2 linked regions of the Drosophila melanogaster genome follow. The protein of the gene in region 1 interacts with the protein of each later gene in a pairwise test. Each region holds a gene or a part of one and is shown on either strand. Other genes may lie near its edges.

Region 1 (5,067 bases):
GCTCATTAGTTGCACTCACAGGCACACTCACACACACACACACACAATCACACTCGCGGAAAATAATTAGAAAAAAACACACGAGCGAAAACTGTTGCACATAAAAAAAGAGAAGAAAAACACACGAACAATATCCACACAAAGGCAACGCAATTACGCGAATTGTAATGAATTTTTGCAAACGAAAATGTAACTGAAATTAAACGAAATGGAAATGTCAAAAAATAAAACATGATATACTATATGATATTAGAATATTTTGCAAATCTTGTTGCGTCTGCGCAGTATGGCAAAAAATAATAAAAAATAATACTATTTGAAAAACAAAACAGAAACAAAAAAAAAAAAAACACGAAAGAAGCCATTAAAACGGCGCTCAAAAACCCCCCACCAAGTGCAATGGGAATGATATTCGTTTGTATGGACTCATTTCTTATAAATATTTATAATTGCGATAAAGTCGAGAGACAGCGATGGGAATGAGGATAAGGCGCGCTAAGAAGCTAGACAGTGCGTTTCGTCTTGTTAAGGTCTTGTGTTGTGGGTTTTTAATTACATGAAGTGCAGACTTCTCTTAAAAAAAAAAATCCACTTTAATTTTAGAACAAAACACTTATATAAGCTTAATAAATTATATTCGTTTCAAATCGTAGCTATATAAAGGAGATATATTGCTTATAATACTTAAAATAAAATCTAACATAACTTACACTACGTTTATAACATTCTATAGTGCTAACAAAACATGTCATCTATTCAAGTTGAATCTTAAAGTTTTCCAATTTCTTTAGCGTTTTTTTTTTTTTGCCCAATTTCCTGATTAACTAAGCTAAACAAAAAAAAAAAGCGATGATTAGTTGGCGCCTCTGGTGGCGCCGGAAGTTCGAGAATTTTCTTCTTGCCGATTCTATTCGCTGGCGACTTCTAAAACTGACCAAGCATTTAGTTAACTTACTTTTCTTTTTGCCAATTTATTGATTGGCTTACTATTTATTTCTTTATTTTTTTTTTTTTGTCTCTTTTTGCTTTGTCGATATATGCATTTTATTTTTTGCCAGTTGTTGTGGCCCAGAAAAGTGCATTTCCATTTTACATATTTGATAACATTCAGCAAATTTTTCCAAAAGCGCATCCGGTTCAAACGGGAAGTGCTACAGTCGTCGCCAAAAGAGCGGTTGATAAAAAAAAAATATATATATATATATATATATATATATATATGGAAAGGGTAACAAAACTGATTCGTGAATAGAGTTATGTATACGTCTGGGTGTTTTATTGCCATTTTTTATATCAACTAACTTATGTTTATCTTCACACTTAACTATAGGCATTACGATTAAGTTCTTTATAATCAGCAATAACTGAAGTCTGTCTGAATAATAATATACAAATATTATATATATATAATCAAAAATATTATATCTAGCATACATTTATAGTAGCAATGACCCTAAAGTGTATTTCTTATCAAAGTTAAATTGTTTAGCACCTTATTTTAGTTAAGTCACCAATGGCTAGTAATTTTGCAAATATTTTATTTAATTAACGCCGTTTTTTTTTTGCAATTCAAAGTTATAGTTTATTCAAGGCTTCTATGGACAAAATTAATCGCAAACAAGTTTTTGTCCAACACTTTCCATTCCTCTCACTTCACACTTTTGCTATTAATCCATTTATGGCCAAAATTCATCCAAACCTAACACTTTTCTTATCGAGTAGCACTTCGTGTTCGATTTTTGACCCACGCAAACACTTGATAAAATAATATCGCAAACGAAGTGCCAAATAAATGATTCGATGATTTGAAAAATTGTTTGAAAAGTAAAAAAAAACTCACCATAAACGCCAAACACCGCAGTTTCAAAACTTTGTTCTCGTTCTTCTTCTTGTTGTTGGTGTTGTTGTTGATGCCTTTGCCGCAGTTGTTGGTTTTGTTGTTGTTGATGTTTTGGGTGAATTTCTTGTGGTTGTTGTTGTTGTTGATGTTGTTGTTGCACTTGCTGTTTGCATTGAATTAAATTTGACTTGATTTTTGTTTATTTCCACTTTTCTGTTTTCTGCGGTTCGCACAAATTTTTCACTTGGAAAAAATTGTTGTAATTTTGTTGAAATCAAAGAATTAAGGTGCAAAATAGGTTTAATTTCCTTTAACACAACCTTAGAGCATGTTTTTTGTTTAAATTGTTTGCGTTTTTCTATTTGAAATGAAATTGTAGTTTTTGAGATGGGGAAAAAAACACAAAATAATTGCGGGATATTTTTCGGTATTTACTTTAGGCTGTTTAGATTTCGAAAAATGCTCCAAGTCCAAAAAAGTTGTTGTAAGTTTTTCTAAAGTTTTTAGCTTGTTGTCGCTTTTGTTGTTGTTGTTGTTGTTGTTGTTGTTGTTCACACACACACACGTGCAAAGCCGCCTTGAGTTGTTGTTTCATTTGGTTGTTGTGGTTGTTGTTGATGTTGTTGTTCTTGCGGTTGTTGTTGCTGCTGCAGTTGTTGCCCCTGTTGTAGATGTAGTTGTTGTGGTTGTTGCATTGTTGAAATACAAAAAAATTACGCTTAAGGATTTTCTTGCTTCTTTTGTGTGGTTGTTGTTGTTGTTGACTTTGTTAAAAACTTTCGCTGTTACTTCATTTATTTGTAATTTTTTATTTTATAATAATATATTTATAAAACATTTTTGTTGTGTTTAAGTTTATGCCTGGGAAAAAGTATACAAAAACTAGTGTTAGAAACCGACGCAGAGCACTTGAAAAAAATTCAAAAAAAAATTAATTTCATGAATGAAGGACAGAAATGAATGCAAAAGGACCTATTACTCGAAATTCGTGTTTCCAAAAACCGCGCACAAAAATAAAGAAGAAAAAAAAAATAAACGATAAAGAATCCAAAATATTTTCCGTACAAATATTCGTAAAATATTTGAATATTTTGTCGCTTGGCAAAATGTAATTTATTTGCTGTTTGCGGCTAAGGCTAACGAAAATAAACACGAACGAACGTATGAAAGTGTCTGCAAGAACTGCAATCGCATCGCGTGTGAAATCTCTGCGAAAGTCCAAAGCCGACAGAGCTGCAAAACCAAAAAGCCTGGCCAAAAGCCCAAAACCCAAAGAGCATTGGCGTTGGCAGCGCGGCGGCAGCGCTGCGACTGCGACTGCGTTGCTTCGTATTGCCGAGTGATTCCCGTTCGCCTATGTGTGGGTGCCCCTGCACATCGTAGTCCATACGTATGTGTGTGTGTGTGTGTGTGTGTGTGTGAGTGGTGTGTGCTTGTACTAAGAGCGCCGCACGCGCTTCGTAAAAGAGCAGCGTCGGTGAAAAACGCAGCAAAGCTGAGCCAAAATGCACCTCGTTTCCCACCGCGAGTCACTTTTTCTCTTTCACTCAATCGCAGAAAGTGCACGGTGCGGCGCTCTCTCTTTTCGCTCGCTCGCTCTCTCTCTCTCTTCGCAGTGGACAACGCAGCGTATGCGTAATCTGTACGAGTGCAGCAACATATCATTCAGAAAATAAAACCCACAAACACTCACACAACCGTCTGCCATATGTTTCCCGAAAGTTTTTGGGGTTCAAATAAAAGGACAAAGAAAGGTCCAACAAATTAATACGCAGGACAAGAACTCTAGTTGAATGTGCATTATTTTTAATAATGCCATATATGCCCTCAAATCACTCAAATAAAATTGAAACTATCATTTTTATCAATCTTAAAACGGAATGCAATCTGATCGATTTTAATGGTTTGCAAGAAAAATATTAAAAACTGATAAATTCAACAAAACAAAAAAAACAAGGTTCGAAACTATTCTTTTAAATTTTTTATTAAATTCAATAAATTTGCTTTAATAAATCTAACAAGTTTTAATACATTTTCCAACAAAAATGATGAACTTATCATTTTTAAATAATTATGTTTATTCACTGGTTTAAAAAAAAGTGCGATTTTATGTGCATGCCACAAAATTAGTAGTAAAGCACATGAATAAGGCTAAATGAAAAATGTGGCAATTCGTTTTAATTCATTTTCATACAAAATTTAAAATCGAAAATTGTAATCTTTAATTACAATTACTTTCACACTAAAACCTTAAAAGTTTTAGTTGAGTATAATACAAATACATTTAAAATTGAAGTATGGAAATATTTAAACTTTAAATAATACAATGCAATTGCCAAATTGACATAAAAAAGAAACAGTAAAAAAATCATTGAAATATCATTTAATATTTAGAGTTCTAATATGCACTAAAAATTCCGCTCAGAATATTTTCAACAGAGCTCTGCGATATTCCGTCGGCAATTTCTAATCTGATGTCTAAGCTGCAGTTTTTTTTTTTTTTTTTTTTTTTGGGTTTTTTTTTTGGCACTTGTTAATCAATTCACAAATTCAGGACAAGTGACAATTTAAGAAAACACATTACAATATTAGTTACATATTATTTTTTGAGGGCCTGTTGCAATAAATAGCCACTACCTAGCTACTAAAAATTTGCCTAAAATATTTATACACTTAATTCGGAATTGACATTCTTTATAACTGCAACTAACTTCTTAAAAACATAGTTTCAATCCTTCAAAACACTGGATATTTGAATCTTTCCTTTCGTGGTTTCGAAATGTTATTATTAGAACTTGTCAACACTTGTAAATAAGAATGAGTAAGCACACAAATTCAAACATAAAATGGTGTACAAATGAAACATGAAACATTATGCATTTTCGAAATGATAAACAATATCCTTTGAATGACTTTAGTTGTCCTTGGAAAACGCAACATCACTAGTTTCCCTCTTAAGACTTTTAACTTGGCTATGCATGATTAAAATCCTTAGAAAAACACATGACCTTTTGGGGCACTTAAGTGATCCTCAACAAACACAAAATACGAAAATTCTGTAATTTTTTGTATATTATATATATGTGGTCCTTCCGGTTTTTCTAGCACTTTGTCATAAACACTTTTTGAGAAACAGCACAATTTGCTAAAATCAAAAATAGTTGCTGCTGCTTTCACTTGCAATATTTTATATTCAAAAAAAAAAAAATTCTTAAAAACACTTGAAA
Region 2 (3,234 bases), on another chromosome or scaffold:
TGTTTTTCTTTGATTTTTGTTTTTTTTTTTCGTACGTAAAACTTTTTTCGCCGCCGTTCAGATAATTTTTCAAGGTCAGATACAACAAAAAAAAAGCCAGAAATATTATAGTTTTATACACGCTTGTGTCTTCTGGGCTGTGGGTGTTGTTGGTGAAACGCTAATTTTTATTGGATTATCCATCTTTGTTTTTCCTTTTACTTTTCCGTGAGAGATCGTTTCGTATTTAATGGGGTATAAATTTTCTTTCGTTTTATGTTTGCAAAATTAAGTTTCTTATAAATAGCATCGCATCTGTGTGTTTGTAGGTGTTTATGTTTCTTGCGTTTCTTTAATTTCTATATAGTTTCGGATAATTTATGAGATTAACCGCTAGACCTAAAGGCGTTGATCTAAGCATTTGCTTATGTTTTATACTTTGCTAAAAAATACATTTATTTTAATGTTTAGCTATATTGTTTATAAAATCGTTTTAAAAAGCTATTGCATTTAAGAACCTACTGCAACTAAGTGGGTCACAAAATGAAACGAAAGTGAAAAGAGAAAATCAAACGAAATTGTTTTTTTCAAAAAGAGCACAGCAACATTTAACACATAATTAAAAATCCCATTCTTCACGGTCAGAAGAAATGACTCTAGTATTTTCCGCAATCAGAGGCCTGTGGCTAACTAATTAGATGGCCCCCATGATTGATGTCTGCACAAAACCAAATATCTCTGTCTGACCCAGTTTCTGGCCAGCCAAAGCAGAAATATTGAATGAATAGGGAAACCAATTTCACTGACAGTTCTTTGAGGAACGAATATTATTGACAGCCACTCGAATTTCAAGTGTGCGTCAATTGGCGGCGCAGCACTTAAGTGTTTATTGAACCAAATGAGTCACTCGTCCGGACACCTTTTGCTAGGCGTCCACTTGGAAGGGATCGGGCTCGCCGTGTAGCACGATCTTGACGAAGATCCTACGCTGCTCTCCGGAGAGGCACAGCTCCCGAATGTCGGTGGCCGTGTACAGGAGGTAGTCCGTGTTGCAATACAGCCGATTCTGACTATCCATCAATGGACTGTCCAGGGAATTGCGCAGGCAACGCCATCCGCGCTTCTCGTGGGCATGGAATCCGTCGAGGAGTGTTACATTGGCACTCACCAGACTGGAGGGCACAGCACTCACCAGGTATAAGATGTAGGCCTGCTCGGTGTTCAGAATAGGAGGGCTCACATAGAGCATCAGGATAATGGGCAGATGGTGGACAATCTGCAGATCCGAAGTAACAGCACAACTAAGACCCGGCTTTGGGGCTCCCTCATAGGCGATGACTCCAATCGAATGATTTCGACCCGGTGTCAATTTATCAATATCCACTTCGTACTGCTTGGGCACGTCCTCAGCAATCTCGATCATCGAGTCCTGCGGACTGTGCCGCATCATCAGATGGGCCAGCATCTCGAGTGGCGACATCTGCGCCTGGCAATTGGTCACTGGACACATAGCCGGAATTCCATAGAGGGCCTCCAGATTCAAATTGGCGAATCGTTGGTACTTGGGGTTGAGATTTTATGGAACGGTCAGTTCACGCGGCTTTTCTTGCATTTGTTTTAACTTACCATAGTTTCTGAACTGGATAAATGGTATTTCTCCAAGTATTCGTTAAGAAATTAAACTGAGAAATCTGGTAATGTCTATGAAATGTCAGTGACTTGAAAGGAAACGCTTGGCTAATCATATTTCCTAAAAAGTGACTTTAGCTTTTAAGGGAATTTATGGAGTTGATTATATTATCCAATACTAAAAATACATTCATTATATACTTATTTACAGTCAACTGCTCGATATTCCAAAATGTCGATATGGTTCAGTTAAATTATTAAAGCTACACAAAAATACTTTTCTTGCTCATGGTTAAAACTATATAATGGGATCAAATGAAAGTAGATGACCAGAACTATCCACAATAATCGTTTGCCGATGTTGTCTCTTGACTTTCCCCTTCTTTGTGGCATTTTAAGTTTTTTACTTCGTACAAATTGTGGATGTCGAGCGACAAAAGAAAATGATTTTAGCCCAGTCATTCCGCGTTTTAAATTCCTTAACGCTTTCTTGCCAATTATTATTTAACTGTGCACAAAGCAGTCGCAAAAAATGAAAATAAGACTGAAAGAAAAAAACAGCAGAAAAGATAACATCTTATTTGTCTGTCAAGGCTAGTGGGCCACATTTCCGCAGATGATTGTTCAAATGAGTTAATTAGAGCAAGCCGAGTGCGCAGATTCGATAAAGAAATCCCCCGAACTAAAGATAATGCCGAAGTGGGAGATACCCGTTCTTTCGATTTGGCTTAATCGTGAAAAGCGACAGAAGTAATAAGCAGACGACATGACAGTAGAGTGAAAACAATTAGTAGCACGATAAGAGATGCAGATACAGCCGAAAGATACCAGATACAGATAAACGAAAGCGTCGCAAAGTCTTTTTGGCGTTTAGCTGGAAATTTGTCGCCATCATCGAACTGCATTGACAGACAAATAAATTGCTATACAGTCCGCGTGCCAGTCGGCCGTTTGTCAAGCGATCGATTTTCCTTTTGCGGCACCACCAATACCATCAAAGCGACTGGAAATGTATCTGCAACAAGTTGCCGAACAAGCCAACTCAGATGTGCCGTCCAACCTCCGGCGAACCGAACCCGACTTCAATGCGTCTCGAGAGTCCGCTGCGATCAGTCGCCCAGTGCGCTCCTCAGATACAGATAAAAAAAACGAACCTACGAGATACTTTTTGTGCGCAGCGCGTGTGTTTTCAATTTAATAATTAGTGAGTGAGTGAGTGATTAAAGTCGGATACTAACAGAAAGGCCGGGCAAATGCCATCTTAATTCGGAGCAACTTTAGCTCATGCCTAAAAATAATTCAACTGCGTAAGCGTATCTCTGCGAGACGGAAAACGGCTGGTCCACATAGTAGTGATTCTGTTATAGGTTCCCCCAAAAATTTCAGTGATTCTTCTCCGCCGATGTGAGTCAGCAGACCATTTGTCGGCTGCCCCTTGTCAAAAAAGGTTAAATTCAATTCCCACAATCGATGGTTGAGTCATTCGACCACCTAGGCTCCAATACAGCACCTTTGTTTGCATGTCCCCTGATCGGCCAAATGTAAATCGATTGTACAACCCATTGTACTTGGCTGCTTGAATTGTAACTCTTTGTTCTGCGCACATTTACTGATAAGCGCACTTGC

The links.
Region 2: the proteins of mamo (region 1) and CG31848 interact in a two-hybrid assay, tested with the Drosophila melanogaster proteins (one large-scale study listed by BioGRID).

Annotation. Positions count from the first base shown.
Region 1 is NC_004354.4:13,983,374-13,988,440, forward strand, and holds the start of mamo (maternal gene required for meiosis), read right to left. Parts: upstream 3,070-5,067; 5' UTR 2,998-3,069; intron 2,702-2,997; 5' UTR 1,841-2,701; intron 1-1,840.
Region 2 is NT_033779.5:13,264,177-13,267,410, forward strand, and holds CG31848 (uncharacterized protein), read right to left. Parts: upstream 1,701-3,234; 5' UTR 1,609-1,700; coding exon 1,606-1,608; intron 1,541-1,605; coding exon 905-1,540; 3' UTR 820-904; downstream 1-819.